Linked DNA regions of Coturnix japonica. The protein of the gene in region 1 purifies or fractionates together with the protein of each later gene. This does not show direct contact. Links are inferred from orthologs where the notes say so. Each region holds a gene or a part of one and is shown on either strand. Other genes may lie near its edges.

Evidence for each region. Proteins that work in one complex are often made in the same cells at the same time.
Region 2: the proteins of RNF25 (region 1) and ubiquitin-conjugating enzyme E2 E2 purify together in Homo sapiens (affinity purification with mass spectrometry; 3 studies listed by BioGRID and IntAct, counting the BioPlex papers as one, with this or other methods). This does not show direct contact. The link is inferred for Coturnix japonica from reciprocal best matches to the Homo sapiens genes RNF25 and UBE2E2.

What each region holds. Positions count from the first base shown.
Region 1 is NC_029522.1:24,276,000-24,285,928, forward strand, and holds the start of RNF25 (E3 ubiquitin-protein ligase RNF25), read right to left. Parts: upstream 4,976-9,929; 5' UTR 4,921-4,975; coding exon 4,883-4,920; intron 4,805-4,882; coding exon 4,730-4,804; intron 4,659-4,729; coding exon 4,556-4,658; intron 4,464-4,555; coding exon 4,396-4,463; intron 3,739-4,395; coding exon 3,669-3,738; intron 3,538-3,668; coding exon 3,466-3,537; intron 3,295-3,465; coding exon 3,154-3,294; intron 2,815-3,153; coding exon 2,725-2,814; intron 2,301-2,724; coding exon 2,295-2,300; intron 2,012-2,294; coding exon 1,877-2,011; intron 1,746-1,876; coding exon 1,020-1,745; 3' UTR 1-1,019. Other genes in the region: STK36 (serine/threonine-protein kinase 36), read left to right, coding at 5,091-5,174, 5,602-5,742, 6,565-6,642, 7,005-7,135, 7,380-7,629, 7,805-7,898, 8,138-8,307, 8,508-8,710 and 4 more. UniProt on the Homo sapiens protein: E3 ubiquitin-protein ligase that plays a key role in the RNF14-RNF25 translation quality control pathway, a pathway that takes place when a ribosome has stalled during translation, and which promotes ubiquitination and degradation of translation factors on stalled ribosomes.
Region 2 is NC_029517.1:33,811,139-33,820,924, reverse strand, and holds the start of ubiquitin-conjugating enzyme E2 E2, read right to left. Parts: upstream 6,039-9,786; 5' UTR 5,737-6,038; intron 2,512-5,736; exon of another isoform or gene 2,507-2,511; 5' UTR 2,499-2,506; coding exon 2,323-2,498; intron 1-2,322.

The DNA of each region.
Region 1 (9,929 bases):
AGCCAGCATCTTGCTATCCAGACTTTCCCTGCACGTACAGAATAGGAGGGAAGGGAGTAATATCAAGGACCAACACTTTGTTCCAACCAGTTAAGAACAGGAGTTGGAGGGCAAAGAAAACAAAAGGAACAGGCTCCAGAGAAGACCCAACAAGTTAATTTAATAGCAGTGTCCCACTTCAGAAATTTGGGATTCCTGTCATGTCTCTGCAGCAGGACATAGTCTGAATCTGAAACAGCAGCAGAAGGAACTGCAAGAAAGCAGCTGAAGGACAGGGCAGAAGCTCCTGCTAAACTCAAGCTTCCAGGGGGAGCAGGAGCCAGCACCAGGTCTCAGTCACTGGACAGTCCTGACCTGCCTCAGTATTGGCTTAAACTTAATCCAGCTCTGGCTGAGGCTGGGAGGAGTCATGATATACAAAGGACTTGCCTGGCCAAGCCTATGAGTTGAGCAGCAGTCTGCACCACAGAGGAAACAAAGTCATCTCTAAGGAGCGGGGACAGCAGCTCAGAATGTGCTCCAAGAAGCACCAAAGGATGCAGCAAGCTGAGCTGCAGGTTGCTGCCCTGGCACAGCCTCACCGCCTGGTGCCATCATGGCTCTGCAGGCATGCTCCGTTCCAGGGAAGGTCCTGCAGGGCTTCAGCTCTGCTGTAGCACCATGCCAAGCTAGTTCCACTTGTTTCTGTAGGTACGCATGTTTCTTGGCTCACAAAAACAGATGATGAATGCATGCTGGTCCCTGGTCAAGCCCTCCTCTGCCCCCTGCATCTTTCAGGAGCAAGGCTGCTGTGAGCTGTCAGAAGTCAGCTTCTCCTGTGGTGGTGACAGCCAGTTGCTCACACCAGGCAGCCTATGCTTCATTCTACATGAACCATGGAGACTCCACCTGTCCCAAGCTGTGCCAAGTGCTTCCTCTGTCCCAAGCTGTATGGTGACTCCTTGTGACCGCTCTACCAGAACCTTTGCCATTCTCATTTATTAACAGCCCCTTCCCAGCCCAGCCCCATACCCCTCCTGCTAGGAACTGCTTTCCTTCTCCCCAAAATGGGCTTCTCGACGTCCACTGGGCCTGAACACTCCTCGCCCTCTTGGTGCTCTGTGGTAGGAGCCACGATCCTGCGCTCTGGACCTTTCCCACCTCCCGCAATCCCAGGGCCTGTGGTGGCCTTGCCAGCCAGGAGCTGCTCTGTGATTGCTGTGGTTGAATGCCAGGTTCTCCTTCTCCCTGCTTTGGGCCTCAGCACCTTGCTCCGGGGTCCAGCTTTCCATGTTATGGTGTTCCTCTTTCAAGTCCACTGCATCTACTGCTGGTGAGGGATCTTCAGGGCACAGCTCCTTTCTTTCAGCCAAGGCAGCTGCCTTGCTTCTGCTGTGAGGTTTTGGAAACTCCTGACAGCGCCTCCCAGCAGGTCTTCTCTCTGGTCTCTGACCAAAGCCTCTGGGCACCCTGGAGCCATGGGACAGATGACAGGCTTCCCCTGCCACTTCCTGTGAGTTGCTGCAGGACTGCCTGCCTTGGCCTCTTGGGCCTGGTCTCTCCCCTCTGTGCCTCTCCCTCTTGCTCTGGGGTTCCTTGGGCACAGCAGATCTCTCAGGCTGCCCAGGCTCTGCCGTGCTCTCTGGAGCCCTAGCTGGCTCCAGAGCTGAGGTCTGGCAGGATGCCTGAGGTGTGTCCACATCGCTAGCACTCACCAGTGGCTCAGAGGCAGCAGCTACCTGGCCTGGATCAACAGTAGCTGGAGGCTGAAAGAAAGAAGCCAACAGTTAAGAAAGGGAAAGGACACTCCCAAAGCAGATGACAGTGTTTGGCCCTTAAGTCCAGGGACATCCTTGCTGACGTGGAGCTCAGCAGCTCTCTGCCCCCAGTGCCATACCGCCTGGAGGCTGATGAAGTAACGGTTCTTCTCTGCTTCAGGATCAATGATGCCCCCTTTCTCTTGCTGTTTCTTGAAAATTAAGCGCAGTTCTTCTTGGTGCTGCAGCATCTTGGCATCTGGTCTGTATGGCTCCTGAGTGGCAGACAGCAAGAGGGGTTAAGGGCTCTGTCTATACGGGTAGTCAGTTAACAACACCACGAGCAACTCCCCAAACCCTCATTTGATCACACAGCACCCAAGCAACTGGTCTTTACAACATCTGACCCACTGAGCCTACAGATTCACGTGTAGTACTTACACAGAGAGAGGGAACACCCACTATTCCCTGACTTAGGGCCTCCTGCTTTGGAGCAAGATGCAGAGCAGCTAAAAACGAAGAACCCCAGAACTCACCACACAAGCTGGAGTCACTCACCTGAAACTGATAACATCTCAGTGGGTACAGGGACATATTTAAGAAAACCTACAGTTATTCTCTTAGAGCAGAGAGAACATAGAAAATCAAGCACTCAGTACTTGATGGCAGAATTGCCTCTCTCTCCCACCATATCTGCTTGCTTTGGAGAGTAAGCCAACAACACTACATATCCTCACTGCCTCCATATGCAACAGCTACATATCTTTTGCTTCCCTCTGCCTTTATCACACAGAAGGGCTGCAGTGGTCCCCCCTCTGAACAGAGCACAAGATGGAATTTGTATGTTTGTGTGTTTTCCGAGAGTAACTGGCAGAGCACATTAATCAGCTCCAGCAGACACTGTTTGTTCATGGATAAAATGTCCCAGATGACATTTTAGCTACCCAGAGAGTGGACACAGCCAGGCAGATGAATCCCCATCTCTTACCAGTGGGTGCTGTGGTGGTGGCGCTGCCTTCAGGGCACAGAGGTCATAAATCAAGGTTTCCCGGCAGACAGGGCACTGCACGCCGACTTTCTGCAGGGAGGTGAGAGGTGAAACCCTAGGCAGCAGCCCAGCCCATATACATCGAGAGAATCCCCAGGGTGGAAGTGAAACAAACAGGGCAGCCTACTTCAGCTAAACACAAGCACTTTTCTACTAAGGCAGGGAGGCCCAGGGGGATTCCAGTTTCTAATTATGATTGGAAAGGGCTCCTGGGGCTCATTTGGTCCAATCTCCACTGATTCTCTCAACACAGGCACCATGCTAACCATGCTGCACATGGCTGCTGAGTCAGGCTGGCCTTTGTTCCACATCCCACAGGGAGTGACAGAGAACTCATGAGGGCCTGTGCAGGGGATCAAAGCCAAATACCTGTTTGGGGGAAGGTGCCAGGTGCTGTTCTCTCTCCTCCTGCTGCATAAGAATCTCCTCCTCCATGTGCTGTGCATAGCGGGCCAGGCAGTGTGAGTGAAAGTAGTGGTAGCACTGGGTCTTTGTGAAGGCTTCTCTCTCCTGTGGAGGAAAAAGGGTGTTCACAGGGTGTTCCCAGCACCGAGCTGAGGTGGGTTTTCATTCCCATGTCAGCAGGGATGTTATTGATGGCAGAAATACATAGCTTCTCCCACTGGGCTTCATCTGACTCACTTCTCAGCCAGCACGAAGAGCTGGAATATGTATTCCTACCTGGAATCCATAGAGGCAGATCACACACTGGCCATGAGGAATATTGTTGTCAGTGAGAATCTCCTTCCCCTTCTGTCAAAGCAGAAAAGCAAGCATTTTTCTCACTGGCCTCCACATGGGCCCAGACTCAGGGCTCTCCCACCTCAAAGGGAGTCAAAGAATGGTGTGCGTATCTGGCTGCCTCCCTTCTCCCCAGCTCTCACCTCAATCAGCTCATACAGCACCTCTGTCCCCAGCCTGGCTTCAGCAACATTTCTGAGGGTCTGTAAAATCCTACAGCAAAGCAGCACAAATACTTAACACAAACTTTGCCACACCTTTTCACTCTTCCACACGCCTGTCATCACCCCACCATGATAACAAGAGAAATAAAAAGAACGCCATCCACCAGGCTTTGCCTACAGTGTAGGATGAGCGCGGATGCAAGCACATATTCCCGTGCTCTAAGGTTTTGTTGATCTGGTGGGAGCAACTTTAATGCCGTGCATTGACTGGTATCTGGATCTCTGCTGCACCAACAACGGGAGCACAAAGGCAGCAGCAGGCTGTGTGAAGACTGAAATGAGTTGCAGTGATGTCTCTGTCAGACCTGGATCAACATCTCTGAAGGCCTGAGAGACTTCAGTTTACGTTTCAGGTGGACCACAAGGGAACAAACCATTCCTCAGCATCAAAGCTGACATAAAGCTTAACTCAAGGTGATTGGAGAGCTGTATGTATGTGTTAAGCTGACAGGGCACCCTAGAGGCATAAAGAGAAGGCTCTACAGCACTGTTAACACCACCACTCTGCTCTCCTCCCTCTTAGCACTCACACACAATCACAGAATGACCCGGGTTGGAAGGGACCTCAAGGATCATGTAGTTCCAACCCCCCTGCCTGGCAGGGCCACCAAACATACACATTTACTAGACCAGGTTGCCCACTCACTTCTGGATCTGCTCATCCGACAGCCCCCGTGGGTTGCTGATGGAGATGTCCGGAGCCTCGTTGGGATACTAGAAAACAAAACCAAGCAACAAAACCCCAAACGCACCGAGAAAAGCAGAGATAAGGGGCAGCAAGGGGCCCGGTCGGGATGGGAGCCTACCTGGGGGGGCACGGCCAGCACCAGCGTGCAGCGAACGAACTGGGAGTCCTGGTCCTGGGCCGTGGCGGGGTGCAGGGTGATGCTCAGCTCCCAGGGCTCGGCCCTAAGGGCGGGCAGAGATAAGAGATAAGGGGCGGCCGGGAGCAGGGCCGGGGAGCGAGGCCCGGTACGTACCTCGCGCTGCCCCGCACCACCCGCAGCTCCTCCAGGTAGATGGACTCCAGCACCTCCACCTCGGCCGGCAGCGCCCTGCGGAGCACCGAGCGGTCAGGAAGCCACAAGCAGCAGCCCCGGGGAAAGGCAGGGAGGGACAGGGGGATCCATTACCAGTCCGCCGCCTCCGCCTCCTCGCCGGCCGCCGCCATCTTCACGGCCGACCCGGATGCGGAAGGCCTCAGCTGTTGCTAGGCGATGTGGCGGCGCGGCCTGTAACCGCGTTGTACTGCGGCCCCACGGCCTGTAACAGCGTTATACTGCGGCCTTAAATCGTCGGTCCGTGTTGTGAGGAACCTCGGCCCGACCCCGGAGCTCCGCCATGGAGAGGTACCATGTGCTGGAGGTGATCGGAGAAGGCTCCTTCGGACGGGTGTACAAGGGGCGGCGGAGGTGCAGCGCCCAGGTGAGGAGAGAGATGGGTCTCTATAAAGAGCCCGGCTCTATCTTAGAAGCCTCCTGCCAGACACCGGGTTAATAAAGCTCAGCCCCCCCAGTTTCAGCTTGTATGCCCTGTTATCAGCCACCTTGCTACCCTGGTGCCCCAGCTAGGACCGCTCCTGTTTGTCAGTGCACTTCTGGACCAAAAAATGGCCACTGTAGCCTAAAAGTAATAAGAAAAGGGCAATAATCTCTTCCTTTAGAAGACAGCCTGTAGTCCTGCTCACACAGCTCAGGTACTGAGTACTGAGTACTTATACTCCTTGCTCCGGCCCTATGAACGTGTCTTGTTCTGTGTGTTCACCTAGAAAATAATGAGTCCCGCTTGGGTTAAATGCAGCCCCTGCCAACGCGGGCAGGACACTGCTCTGATCCCAGCTTTGCTTTGGAAGGTGGTGGCTCTGAAATTCATCCCCAAGGTGGGGCGGTCTGAGAAGGAGCTGAAGAATCTGCAGCGGGAAATTGAGATTATGAGAGGTCTCCGTCATCCTAACATCATCCAGATGCTCGACAGCTTTGAGACTGATAAAGAGGTAATGGGACCCGTGCAGGGCAGGTACTTTTGCTTGGTGGGGTGGGGGCGTGGGCTGTCATCTGCTGTCACCTCTGCCTCAGGAGATGCTGGTGACAATATTCCAGGGCTCTAGCAGCATTTCTATCTAACCAGGTTTTTTCAGTGCCCAGCTGTATCTCCACTCTTGTTGAGTGCTGCAGACCTGCCACCAGGTATTCTACTCCCTCAGGTGGTTTAATTGGGAACTCCTGCTCTATGGACACGGAGAGACCTTATGAGGGAATAGACTTAGGATTGTGACCCGGCCTAATGATTGATATTTGTCTGAGCCCTCCAGTAATTGGGCAGTAGATAAAAAATATGCTCAAGGGAGTGATTCTACCACTGGGCTCAGAAATACCATTATATGCTTATCCTGTTCCTTTACACTTCCCTGACTTCTGCTGCGTGTTTATATGGGACATTGGTAATCACAGCCTGAACCTCTGATTAATCAGCTGAGCCAAGTGTCGGGTCAGGTGTGGGAGCACAGTTGAGAGTAATTTAGCTGTGCTCCCAGAAGGGGTGAAGCTTGACTCCACCTCCTCTAGACCTCATTTAAGGGCTGACCACCACTAAGGCAGCGTCTCTTAGAGATTGCTCCCTGGTGGAGATTGCCTCAGCATTTCCCAGTGGAGCCATACATATTGGTGACGTTTTTCTTCATAAATAACCTTTTGAATCTCCGTTACCATCTTTGTATCATTCCACCTTACAGTGCTCTGGATAAGTAGAGCTTAAAGGTTCAGCAGGGATGTGTCTGGGGGTGTGCTTAATGCCTTCACGCTGCTCCTTCTTCCAGGTGGTGATGGTGACTGACTACGCAGAGGGAGAGCTATTCCAGATCCTGGAGGATGATGGCAGTTTGCCCGAGGACCAGGTGACTGGCCATATAGGCTTTACTGCAGGATGGAGCGAACAGGGTTTTTCAGCAGGCAGAGGGTTCTGCTGTTAGAGTGGATACGTCAAGGGGGTGAAGGTGTCTTTGAAGCTTTGGCTGGCAGAGTTTTTGAAGGGGATGAAAAGGCAGCCGGATTGCAGGCAGTGTGTTATAGTGGTCCCATAGACCTCGACCTCCCTGTTCCTTCTGTAAGAGCCACAACACATGGCTGCTGCCTCAGCCTTTGGCTCACTCCTCTGCCAGGGAGGGGCTGCTGGCTCAAGGCTGGGGCTGGTCCCTGCCCCAGACAAGGCAAGGGCAAGAGTTGGGGTACTGGAATGAAGCTCCTGTGTCTCTGGCAGGTGCAGATCATAGCTGCCCAGCTGGTCTCTGCTCTCTATTACCTACACTCCCACCGCATCTTGCACCGTGACATGAAACCCCAGAACATCCTGCTGGGCAAAGATGGTGTCATCAAGCTCTGTGACTTTGGGTGCGTATGGGTGACCAGCTAAGATGGGTGTGTAGGCTTGGGGCTTCCAAGGGGTGTCCTGGAGCTGTAGACGAGAAGGGGAGGTGTGGAAGGGGACTTGCATTCTGCACATATTCAGGGGTTAGCAGGGGTAGGGAATTTGGGGCTCCAGAAGGGACAGGATATTGATGACTCGCGGGGTCTCCTTGGGAGCTGCAGTGGCTGCTCTAGCCTGAAATGTCCACCTGTGTTTTGCTCTGAGCAGGTTTGCACGTGCCATGAGCATCCACACCATGGTGCTGACTTCCATCAAGGGCACTCCACTGTACATGTCCCCTGAGCTGGTGGAGGAGCGGCCGTATGACCACACAGCAGACCTGTGGTCTGTGGGCTGCATCCTGTATGAGCTGTTCACAGGCAAACCTCCCTTCTACACAAGCAGCATCTTCCAGCTTGTCAGCCTCATTGTCAAGGACCCTGTCAAGTGGCCTAAGGCCATAAGCCCAACCTTCAAGGTAAGGAGCAAAGCCTTGTCTTAGCACCAGTCCAAGTGTTTCTCAGGGTGAGCCAAAGAACCCAGGAGTCCTGAGTGCTCTTTCTGTGGGAGACTAGTGGGAGCACTGTATTCATTTTTGTTTGTTTGTTTTTTGCATGTGTGGTGTCTGTCCTTGGCACTGTGCTGCCTTGTAGAGCTTCCTGCAGGGGCTGCTAATGAAGGACCCTCGCCAGCGCTTGTCATGGCCAGAGCTGCTCTCCCACCCCTTTGTTGCTGGACGGGTGACTGGTGCGTACCAGATCATTTCCCCTTCTTATTGCCTGGAGACTGGGAATACCACCCTACCATTCTTTTTTTTCCTACCCTGGTCTTTGCCTCCTTCCTCATAGTTTGCACTGACCACTAACCCCTAGCTCCTGCCCCTGGGGTTGCTCTGGGTCCCTCAGGATTCTCCTGGCATTGCGGAGCTGGTTGCTCTCCCTGTGTCTCAAGAAAGATCTGCTGAAATTCTGCTCCTGCCTTCTCAGTGATTGATGACACAGAAGAGCATGGGATTTCAAACCCCTTCACCACCAAGCTGTCCCCAGAGCTACAGGCCCTGAAAGAGCAGCAAGCCCATTCCCTGGCCCCTAGGAGTGGTCAGTCCAGGATCCTGAGAAAGGCTCGGCAGAAGATGGCTGAGGAGGCACAGAAAAAGGTGGAGAAAAGCGTGGGATTCTCTGGACTGCACCCATGGTTATGTCAAAAGAGGGGCTCTTAAATGGGACCAAGGGGAAAGACAGGAGGTGGGCCAGGCTGGTGTAATGGCCACATATGAGGCAGGATTGTGGGGCCGTTGGTGTGGTGCAACTCTTCTCACTGAGTCTGCCCTGACCAAACTTCTCTGCCATCTACCAGGGGCAGCTGAAGGCAAAGACTCCATCTATGAAGGACTCTGGCAAAGGACACACCAGACATAAACCCAGAGAAGCGTTTGGAAAGGCAGCTCTTGAGGAGGGGAAGGAGCTACCAGCATCCTTCCAAGAGAAGAACTCAGGTGTCCTGCAAGGAAAGAACAGCATGTCAGAGTGGCAACTGGAGGAGCCTCCTCCCAGCCCACGGTGAGGGAAGGTTGGGACTGGGAAAAAGAGAGGAAAGTGGGGTAGCTCATTGACTGGGCTGTTTCCTTGGCCAGGGAGCACAGCATCACACAAGATTATGAGCGGGAGTTTCCCCAGCCAGAAGCACCTCTGCAGCTTGGTGTTGGCAGAGCAGAGCTTGAGGGCAGGCAAAGCATTGAGGCTGTGGACCTGGAGAGTGAGGTAAGACGGTGTCCTGTGATAAGGACATGAGGGCCCGCTCCCTAGGGCGTGATACATAGACTCTGGGGCAGGCAGGATCTTTGGCACCAGCTTTCTCTTCTCCGTGGTCAGGAGCTGGGGAGTGATGAGGAGTGGCAGCACCTGATCGAGGCCACAGAGCCCTTGGCCATGCAGCTGAGCACACCTCTGAGCCTCCTGAGGGACTCAGCCTTCCGGCACCGTGTCCAAGCCCGGCTTGCAGAATCTGCTCAGCAAGTGAGTGAGCTTGTCACAAGGCTTGTCCAGCTGACTGAGGCTGGGACATGGATGCTGCCTTCTTTCCTGGGATTGGGTTGGGAGCACTGGGAGATCCCCTTGCTTCAGCTAGCAAGGAGTCCTGCTGCTTCCCCAAGAATCAGAGCTGCCTCACACAATTTGTCATCTGTTCCACTGTTGTCCCTTGCCTTAGAGGCTGGGAGGCAGCCACATGGCTGATGGAGAGGCCATAAGTGCTGCTGAATGAGTCTTTTTGGCTTCTTGCTGCCCAGGTGCTGGAAGGGATGCTTGAGGGAGCCTCCCATCTCCGTTCTGTGCTTCGTGTTGTGGGAAATCTCCTGGCTACCCGCTGTGACTCTGAGCTGCTGAACCTCTTTTGCCAAGAGCTGAATGTGCCATTGTCCTTGCTGCATCTGGCCAAGCAGATACTGGAGAGTGGCAGAACCAAGCAGGTGGGTGTGGAACCCCAGGCAGACTGGGGCTCCCTCAGTCCTGCAGTGTGCCTGTGTTGTCACAGGTCTCTGTGTCCTGCTGGAACTGGTTCACAGCACCAGTGTCTCTTCCAGGCCCTGTTTAGAAGGAGAAAGATCTTGGCAAGGAAGGATCCTGCTGCAGTGGTGTCTGCCTGCCAGCCTGACAATTGCTGCCACTTCATGTTTCTTTCTGCTTCTTGCAGCAGCCCTGGTGTATTGCAGTGCTGACAGACCTCATCATGGTGACCACAGGTTACTTCAGTAGCGAACGCAGCCTGGAGAAGAGTGGG
Region 2 (9,786 bases), on another chromosome or scaffold:
GATGAAAAAGGTATCACAGAAACTGAGTACACAAAACAACATCATTGGCACAGAACGTGATAATATATTTTCCCTTCTTTGATGTTACTCGTCTCCTTTCATTCCTCCACTTTAATTTCATATTTTCCTCATCCTCTAATTTCTGATTTTCCTTCTGTGAGGTTTTACAGCTTTTAATCAAAAAGCAAAGAAACAAAACCTGTTAAATACAAATACCAGATCAGATTAAGAATGTTTACAGTAACGTTGTCCTCATTGTAACACGCTGACAAAACCACTGAATAGATTACACAACTATAAAAACTAAACCATGTGAAGACTATATCACTGTGATTCTTCCCCAGTTTTATGACAACCAGCACTCCTGAAAATACATTTATCAAAAGTGCTATTTATTGTGCGCTTATCTACAGAAGCCTTATACTTTTATAAATCATCTCAGCTTTTAAAATGCGTAATCAAAGGCTTTTCTTCAATATTAGTAAACGTGAAACTCTCGTTAGAGTCTAACCAGCAAATGTACTGATGTCAGCAACTGGCATAATTAGTTTCAGCAGAATCATAAGCAGATATGATTAAACTTTAAAAGGTTTAAGTAATTTTATCACTGTGAAATGCATGTTGATAAAAGCCCTAAGCTTTGAAGATGCAAAGCTAAGATTAATAGACCAATTTCTGACATATCATTATTAATTTTTTAATAGGATACTGTCCACAGGCCCTTGTTGGAATCACGGAGTCATCACATTAGACACTGTACAAAGTTCAGACTCTTCTCTAACATGTTAAAAATTGGATTTGAGACCTTTATATTCCTGTCTAGTCCAATATTTCTTACACTAAAAAACAATAGCAGCAAGCAGGCAGAAGAGAAGAAGTCCAGAAACTATAACAACTGTAGGAATTAACTAAATGAGTAGCACTATGGCTTGAAGAGAAAGCTTTTGGTTTTGTTTCTTTTTTTATTACTTCTTTTTCTTTTAGTTGTGAAAAGAAACCTTGGCACGCTCTGTTGGCTATCCTATAACCAATACAACTATGTCATCTACGCACAGCATCATATTAGGAATGGGTCTTGAAAAAGCATCTTGCTGTGGAAGGAGAAAAGGCAAAGGCCTCATGGGGAGGTGCCTGGGGCAGGAGAGAAGCATGCTAATAACACACTGGAAAGACAAGTGAGTCCAGGACAGAGAAGCACACAGATAGTAAAGGACAGAAGAAACCAAGACATAGGCTGGAACCTCGATGAGATGTAGGCACGTAGGAGAATTTTATAAATCACAGCAAAAGGGTCTCTCCTTTTTTTTTGCAAGGCTCCATGTGCAATTCTTTTTTTCCCCGCACAGCAGCACATCTCCAATGTTTTTTCTTGCAGTTCACACTGACTTGAATTAGTGAAAAACAGAATCTGGGACAGTCTGCACAGTTGATCTCATCAGATTCTGCTAAAAGTGTTTAACTACAACCACTGTTATCCCATCTGAGCTCTACTATATGGACTAACACCAGTAAGTACTGATGGAGCAACACTAAGCACTAAGTTCCCCAGGTCTGGACCAAACGTGACAGTCATTATCTGGAAATGAACACGACCATATAGATGTCTTGGAAATGTTCAGTGTCAGGCTGGACAGGGCTTTGAGCACTCTGATCTATCTGTAGGTGTCCATGTTCATGGCTGAGAAGTTAGACGAGATAACCCTTAAGAATTCCATCCAACAGAAACAATTCCATGAGAATAATTTCAGTAGCTGTTCTACAAATCCACTTTTCCTCTCAAGAAGTAAAGAGATGCTAAAGAAATAGGTATTAAAACAGACCACAGTTTAAAGTAATGAAACCAACATGCATTTGTTGTTCACTTCAATGTCTCTGACCTGACCATCTGGGAAAAGGGAATGCAGTTCTTTACAGCAATAGGTATTACGGTAGTCCTAACATGCTGAGTTACTGAACTGTCTGAAATGTTTATGGTTAATTAACTGTAAGTTACACTGACAAGTTTCAACATCAGTCATACATACACATACAGAGATGTATTTTATAAGGCTACAAAACTGTCTGAGTTTTACTAGCAATAAAAAAATGTCAGCTTTTATCATGCAGGCTACTATTAAAACCATGTGAAAGAGCCAATTTGTCAAAGAAAGGAAAAAAAATATACAGGTCTCGTTATCGTGACCAGCCTCAGAAGACTATTACACTGACACAGTAGTGCTACAATAAAACAGTAAGAAAATGAATATACCGAACCATTACATAACATCTGATGGCCAGCTGAAAAACAAGAAAGGAAGAGAAAAAGACAGAAGAACACTGTACCTTTTAGCACTAGTTGACAGTTTAGCAGCTGTTTTGCTTGATATTTTGCCCTCTTTTTTCTTGGGTTGAACTTGCTCCCTTTCTTGTTCAGGCTGAACGCCTTCACGCTGATCTCCATCAGAGCTGCCTCCACTAGTGCTCGGACTGTCATCAACTCTCTGCCCCTCTGTAGACATGGCAGATGCTGCACTGAACCAAACACAAACAACGAAGGTCAGCTTTCCCAGAAGAAGATGTCAGACAGTATTTCTTGCAGGAGGAAATAACACACAAGATCCGTGTCTCTATACTGAAACACTTGCATTACAGCACTTCAGTCATCTTAGTACTGAAGAGTTTTGCCATAAACATCTTAACAATAATTCAGGAGTTGGTCGTTTCAAATTCCATAACAAATATATATGAAGAGAGGACAGATTTGTTATTTATGATAATGACAAGTTACTGCAGTTAAGCACAAAACACGATTGTGTGAGTACTACACCAGTGCCATAAAAGAGATTTTCCCACCCCTTGGTCATATCATAAGTTAGCTTTCTCATCACTCTGCCACCAGCTCACATTTCACATCGTTTGTTAAAAACCCAGAGCTACTGCTATCTGAAGACTCTGCTATCCCATATGAAATAAACCTGTGAGTTCATTCCAAGTCTCTAACATGGGTTTCCACATTACAAACTCCACATCTTGGCACACTGGATGGAAACGCTTGCAGAACCAAAAGGCACTAACACAGAACTGTTTGTGTTTACTAAATGCAATGCTTCTAGAGCAGTAAGTATCCTGGGAGGGGATACAAAGTATCCTCTGCCATGAGGCACCAAAGCTGTCAGGGAACACAAGCTACAGGAAACCCCAACATGCTTCCAGAAGTCGAGGTCACAGTTTACACACACACTTCTGATACCAGTTAGCTATTTTCACTGTTTCCTTCATTTTAAGTAGTATAACACTATGGCAGACGAGGAGTTACAGCTGTTAGGACTTCTTAAAGCATTCTAATGAAGAGCAGACATCCATGTAAAACTGTCTATAAATTGGCATACGTGGTAGCAATGACTGCTGGAAAACTGGAAAAAAAAACAAAACAACCCCCAAACCAACAAACTAAACCCTCAATATATCTAAGGGCCAAATATGGGGCTGATATGGGCACGTTATCTGCCCTCCTCTAGAGCAAAGGAGCCACATTCAAGGTACACAGGCCTCAACATCCCTCACTCACATCCACACAATCCCACAAATCGGAGCGACTTTTCTGATTGAATCTGACCAAATCCAGAATCTGCTGCAGAGTTTTAAATTGCTGTGAACTTCCACTTGCTTTCCCTTTTACTTGGGTACAGACACCATCCCAGTTTAAGAGCCAAACTATTCACCGTGGAGATCATACAATTATAATCTCCAGGGAGAAGACTAAGGGTGGGGGTTTTTTGGTTTAATTTCTGAAGCTAAACAGAAAGGAGACCCTGAAAGCCTGAGATGTTCAACATATTTAGATGCTACAAGAAATAGCAAGCGATGGATATGGGATCAGTTCCGCCTTGTTCAGTTTATGCTACGTTCAAATTCAATTTTTGAAAATGGTGGGTTTTGAGACTTATTTTCTCGCATAAATTTATATAAAACAAATTTACACTTCACTGCATAAAACAACTGAAATAACAGCATGTTTGACTCCTAAAATTAAAGGAAGAAATTGTTCATTCTTAGCAGAACAACCTTCCCTGCGGTACAGCTACAGGATGATACTGAGCACAGTTAACATATTTACATGGGTTAATGCCTCTGTATTTATCTCCTGCTTGTCAGATGTAAAGATAAAACAAATAGAAGACTGGGAGGTAATAGAGCACAGAAGCACCATATTCTGACAAGTCAAAATATGCATTTAATAACGACAGTGCAATTTTGGTTGTAGGCACCTGTTTTCTTTGCTTCTACATACAGCGAAAATACCACCTGATCTCTCTCAATAGCACTTTTGATGGCCTTTATTTACTTTAGATTTTAGTTCTGAACTTTGCTTAACACATCTCATTTTCAAGAGAAAATTCCCTTCCTGATGTACACACACACACGCTTTAACACTGCAGGCCAGACAGTTAAAAACCTATTTAACGAAGCCTGCATGCACGGGACATCTGCTGCAAATAATCTTGGCTATAAATATTACTATTATCCCAAACCAACTGCATTGCTGGGTTAAGTTCAGGTTACTATCCAGCAGACAAACATTGTAACAGTAGCCCTGAGCATATAATTACTGTAACATGTAATGCCAGCATTTACAGCAGGAAAATGCTTGAATCTGTCATCTGATGTCTGGCTGCCTTCTGATTTCCCCCCTTCGCTCCGTGACACCCCCGGGCGCTCTCCCCAGCTCTCTCCTCCCTATAGCCGCAATTTTAGAGGATTGCTCTAAAGGAATCTTTGAATCTAAGGATGCTCCGTGCCCCGCTCCGAGCGCCTTCCAAAGGGCCCCAAGTCACACACTCTCAACTCAAACTCAGGAGGCAGACAAACAGATGAACAAATAAGAGAATGGAAAAAAAACACCGAGAGAAGGATGACAGCGCTGGGAAAGCATCTCGGTGCCACGAGCGGGTTGGGAAGCACTGGGCGCTGCTCGGAGCCGAGAGCAGCAGCGTGCCAACGGGGTTAGAAAGGCGTGGGGATGTCCTGCTCGGGGGTCTCGACCTCTCGCCCCACGTCTCGAAAGGGAACGGGAGGGCAGAGACCGGGAGCCCGCCTGCTTTCCCCGGGATGATTCAGCAGGGCTGGGATTAAGAGTGGGGATTGTAAACGGAGGAGCTCCGGAGGAGCTGCCTCGGTCACAGTCAGCCCCGGGCACTTCCCTACCTCCCCGCCTTCTCAGAAGGGAAAACAAACACGTAGACAAGGAGTGCCCCCGTAAACCCTGCGGCCGAAGCAAGGGATCCAGGCGGGTCGCGGGGGACTGGGGGAGAGTGGAGGTGGGGGGGGGGGGAGTCTAGTCCGCGGGGAAGCCTCCGTCTGCGGTCCTGATTTCCCGAGTGCGAAGGCAGGCTGAGAGCGTCATCCTCACCTTCATCACCCAGAGCTGACCGCGGGCCCGTGGCCACGGGAGGGGGCACACGGGTGGGCGCCCCGGCCCGACTCGCACCGGGACGCGGAGGGGACTGCGGGAGGGCTGCGTCGGGGCACAGCAGGGGGCACCGAGGGGTAAAGGGTGGGGGAGTGCTGACGGTGGGGGCCGGGGGTGGGATGTGGGGGGAGGGGGAAGTGGGGAGAGAGCTGCGAACGGAGAGCGAAGAGTTGCTAGAGGGCACCGGGGGCGGATGGGGCCGGAGGCGGGGCGGGGGAGGGGTGCCGGGGATGGAGGCAGGGGCCGGAGGTCGCGGGGGGTCGGTCACGGGGGTGGGGGGCCGCTACCTGTGCGCGGGGCTCTCCGGCTGCTGCGGGGCGCGGACGGCGGGACGATCCGTAGCGGCGGCCCCGGCTGCGGCCGGGCGAGGGGCTGGCGGGGGGCAGCGGCCGCTCACTGAGTCATGAGCCCGCCCCGCGCTGCCTGCCGCCCGCCCGCTGAGCTCCCTTTCTTCTTTCTGCCCTTTTTCCCCCCTCCGAGCCCAACGGCGACGGCAGCCGCTGCCCGCACCGCCTCTACCGCCGCCGCTCCTGCCCCCGCTGCCCGAACAGAAGTGAAGCCGCTGTCGCCGCGCGCGCGTCCCCGACGCCGACGCCTCCGCGCGCGCTCCCGCCAGGCCCCCTCCCCGAGCACCGCGCGCGCGCCCGGCAGCCAATTAGCCCGGCCGCTTAGGGAGGGGCGGGGGGACGGGTGCGCGTGCGCGCGCTTTCGGAGAGGGTGTGGGGAGGAAAAGGGGGCAGAGCTGGCGGCGGGAGCGCGCGTTAAAGGGAAGCCCGGGGCGGGGCGGGAGGAGCGAGGAGGAAGGACGAGGCGGCGGGGTGCGGGGGGGGTAAACTGAAGGATTCTCGGGTCTCTTGGCCGAGGCGCAGACGAGAGGGCGACCTCACAGCTCGAACTTTCTTTGCTCTCTTTTCTTTGTTCCACGAGTCTGCCGCCCCCCCGGTGACGTCCGTCCACTCCCCCCCCCCCCCCCCGTTGCACGTCCGCGCGGGCAGCAGAGGACGGTGCGAGTTTGCTTTGGGGTGGCACTGCACCGAGTGGGGCGAACCCCCGTCTGCTGCTCTGTGCCGCCGCCCCGTCCCTTACATCACAGCCGGGGGCAGCTCGGCTCTGTTATATAAACTTGCATGGGCTCACGACGACAGGCAGCGAAATACGTGGTAGTGGGTACGGAGGTAATGACAGCCCCAAATATTTCCCCCTTCTTAAGGGAATTTAAAGCCATGCTTCTGGTGTTCCACATCTAGAAGGAAAAGTTTCTCCCTGCGTCAATCGTGGGGTTTTGTGCTTTTCCCGACTCGTGGCAAGGGCAGAGGTGCAGCCCGTGATGCCCAGCGGGCAGAGATAGGGATGGGAACACAGTAGGAACGAGGAGGGGGTGGGGGGCTGATCGGCAACGTGAGCAGCGCCCGCGTCCCATGGCCGGCAGCGGCGGCCATCCCTGCAGCTTTCTCTGCACGTAAAGTCCACCTTGCTCCTGGCTGATGAGTTGTTGGGAGCTAACTTGCTTTATTGTCTCTTCCTGTCTCGTTTTTAAATAATCCCAGCAACGTTTTCACCTGTACTTAAAAGCACAGCAGTCAGCCAGGTCTTCCTATTTCATGTGCAGTTACAATATATCTTTCTGCTGCTAATGAGCTTCCAGTGTCAGCTAGGTGGGTTCCTATCTGCTGGCGTGTGTTGACTTCTCGCAATGACTAATAACTCAGTAATTAAGAGAACACAATGCATTAAAATCACTTAAAGAATGCAGATCTTGTGCAAGCAGTGCCTCTTGTCATGCTGGAAGGTTGCTGGCCACATTGCACGCTCCTGGCATCACTTTACTCCCTTTTCTAAACTGATTTGCATCACACCTTTTTCTTCCAGGCATTCCAAAACAGAGTGCTGGAAGCACAGGGGAGAAGGACAGTGAATAGCCTAATTCAGACAGGGGTAGGATGGGGGCAGGTAGTGTCCCGGAATTTGGGTCATAAACTCCCAGTGCCAAAAAAAAATCATGGGAGTGCTGAAGGGTTCCAGCACCGAGTGAAGGGTTTGAATCACTAAGATCTGGGCCCAGATTTTATTTTTGATGAGTAACCTCTGGCCAAAGCTAAAGTTAAGGATAACTAATTGAGGGAGATGGCTTTTATTGTCTCATGACCAGGACTTTGTGATTGTAGAGGTGGAAGTTTTTTTAAAGGAGACACTTAGAATCATAGAATCATTAAGGCTGGAAAAAAACAAGACCCATTCCCACCATGCTCACTGAACCATGTCCCTAATTGCCACATCTACCCTTTTTCTGAGCGCCTTCAGGGATGATGACTCCACCATCTCCCTGGGCAGCTTGTTCCAGTACCTTGCCACTCTTCCTGAGAAGATTTTTTTTATCTCAAACCTGAACCTCCCCTGGTGCAACCTGAGGCCATTACCTCTCATTCTATCACTATTATCTGGGAGAAAGGCTGACTCCCACCTCACCACGGCCTTCTTTCAAGTACTGGTGGAGAGCCGTATAGTCTCCCCTCATCCTCCTCTTCTCCAGACTAAACTATCCCAGGTCTCTCTGCCATTCCTCATAAGGCATGTGCTCCAGACTCTTCATAACTTCACTGCCCTTCTCTGGACGTGCTCCGTGGCCTTGAAGTCTTGTTGCAACTGACCCAAATTTGAACACAGTACTCAATTACCACCTGCGAAGTGAAGAAGGCAGTGTAGTCAACTGCTCCCAGATTCATCCTTTTGACCTTCCAAAGAAATGTGTTTGGTCCTCAGATGTTAAAAGTTGCACAGTTTTGTATGATTCAAAATCCTTTGGAAGACTTTTTAAGTTTGGGTCACACAGGGTGAAATCCTGACCCTTCCAAAGTCAGAGGCAATTCTCCAGTGTTACCCTTCACCCCAAGCTAGAGTGTTAAACTGTTTTCCCTGTCTGGCTTTGTGTGGTTTCTAAAAGCTGATGCTATTTACAGCTCTGGGCATATCCAAAGGAATCTTAACTCCTACAGAAGCTTACAGCTTGCTCAGTGAGATACACTGGGGTGCAGCTCTTCAGCACAGGCAGTCGCGCCATCAGGCTGTTATAGCTAAGGACACTTCTGTTAAGGCCTCTTGATTTAGAGTGTCTGCTACAAGGGCAGATACATCAATCAAAATCTGTGAAGTTGGAGAAACCTGAGCCAAGTTTCTATTTAAAAATGTTTAATTGAAGGATCAATTAAAATTATTATTATTATTTATTTATTTAGCTGTACTGAGATCCTGTCTCTGGCAAGTTTCACCTTTTTTTTTTTTTTTTTTTTTTTTTTTTTTTTTTTGTTCAGTTAAAAACATGGAAATTAAATGCTCAATTATTGTTAGATGTCAAAACAAGAATTAGAAAAATGCAGCTTTGAATTTTATTCTGCATTTATGAATTATTGGTCACTCACATTTAAGCAGAAAATCACTTTACGACTGCTATTTAGGCTGAGAAATATACAGCATGTTTAGGTAGTAACTGATAAAACTTCATGCGTACAGGATGCACAAATTGAAGAGACTGAGTTTTCTGAGGCAGAGAAAAGACCAGGAAGCATGTCCACTGTGATACAGCTGAAAATATAACAGCAGCTCTCAGCATCTCACTTTCAAAACTTCAATATTTTGAAGTAAAGAGAGAGATGGAAAATATTCAATTGTCCATGGAACTCTTTGTTGTTCCATCAGTCTCTTTCAATCAAACCCTAATGAACCAGGTCATTTCATCCACTTGAACCACTATCAGCAGAAGATTGGAGCAATGGGGACACTAGAAAACTCCGTGGGATCTTCCCCCCTCTGTGTCCCTCTCCACATTCCTTTCCTTCTGCTCAATGTATCTGGTGAGGGCAGCTCTCATCAGTGGGTCCTCTCTCCCAGTATTCCCCCCCATCTTGATTTGATGTAGGCATGCAGAATGGCAAGAGTCTCTGCAGTGCCTTTATCCTCTCCCATAGCTGGCTTTCTTCCTACTACTATACTACTGTGATGGCACAAAGCCATAAGGATAGTCCAGAGGATCTGGCTTGCTCTTTATTCTTTTTTCCCTCCCTGATAATTATTTCTCCCATTTGCTTATTCTCGCATTGCATCTGATTACTTTTTTTTTTATGATTCCACTTTGCTTTTGTCTTCAATTTGCTAAATCCTACTCTGCATGTTGACAAATGTAAACTGAAACTCACAGCTATCTCAGTCTCTGAAGTCTCAGCTGTGCCTGAAGACATAGTGATTCAGACATCAGGATTCTTCCTGTTCATTTTGTTTTCCAGCTATTGGCATGTAGAATGAAGTGGAGGAGCAAGGATGGGTTTCTGGAAGGTATCTGCAAG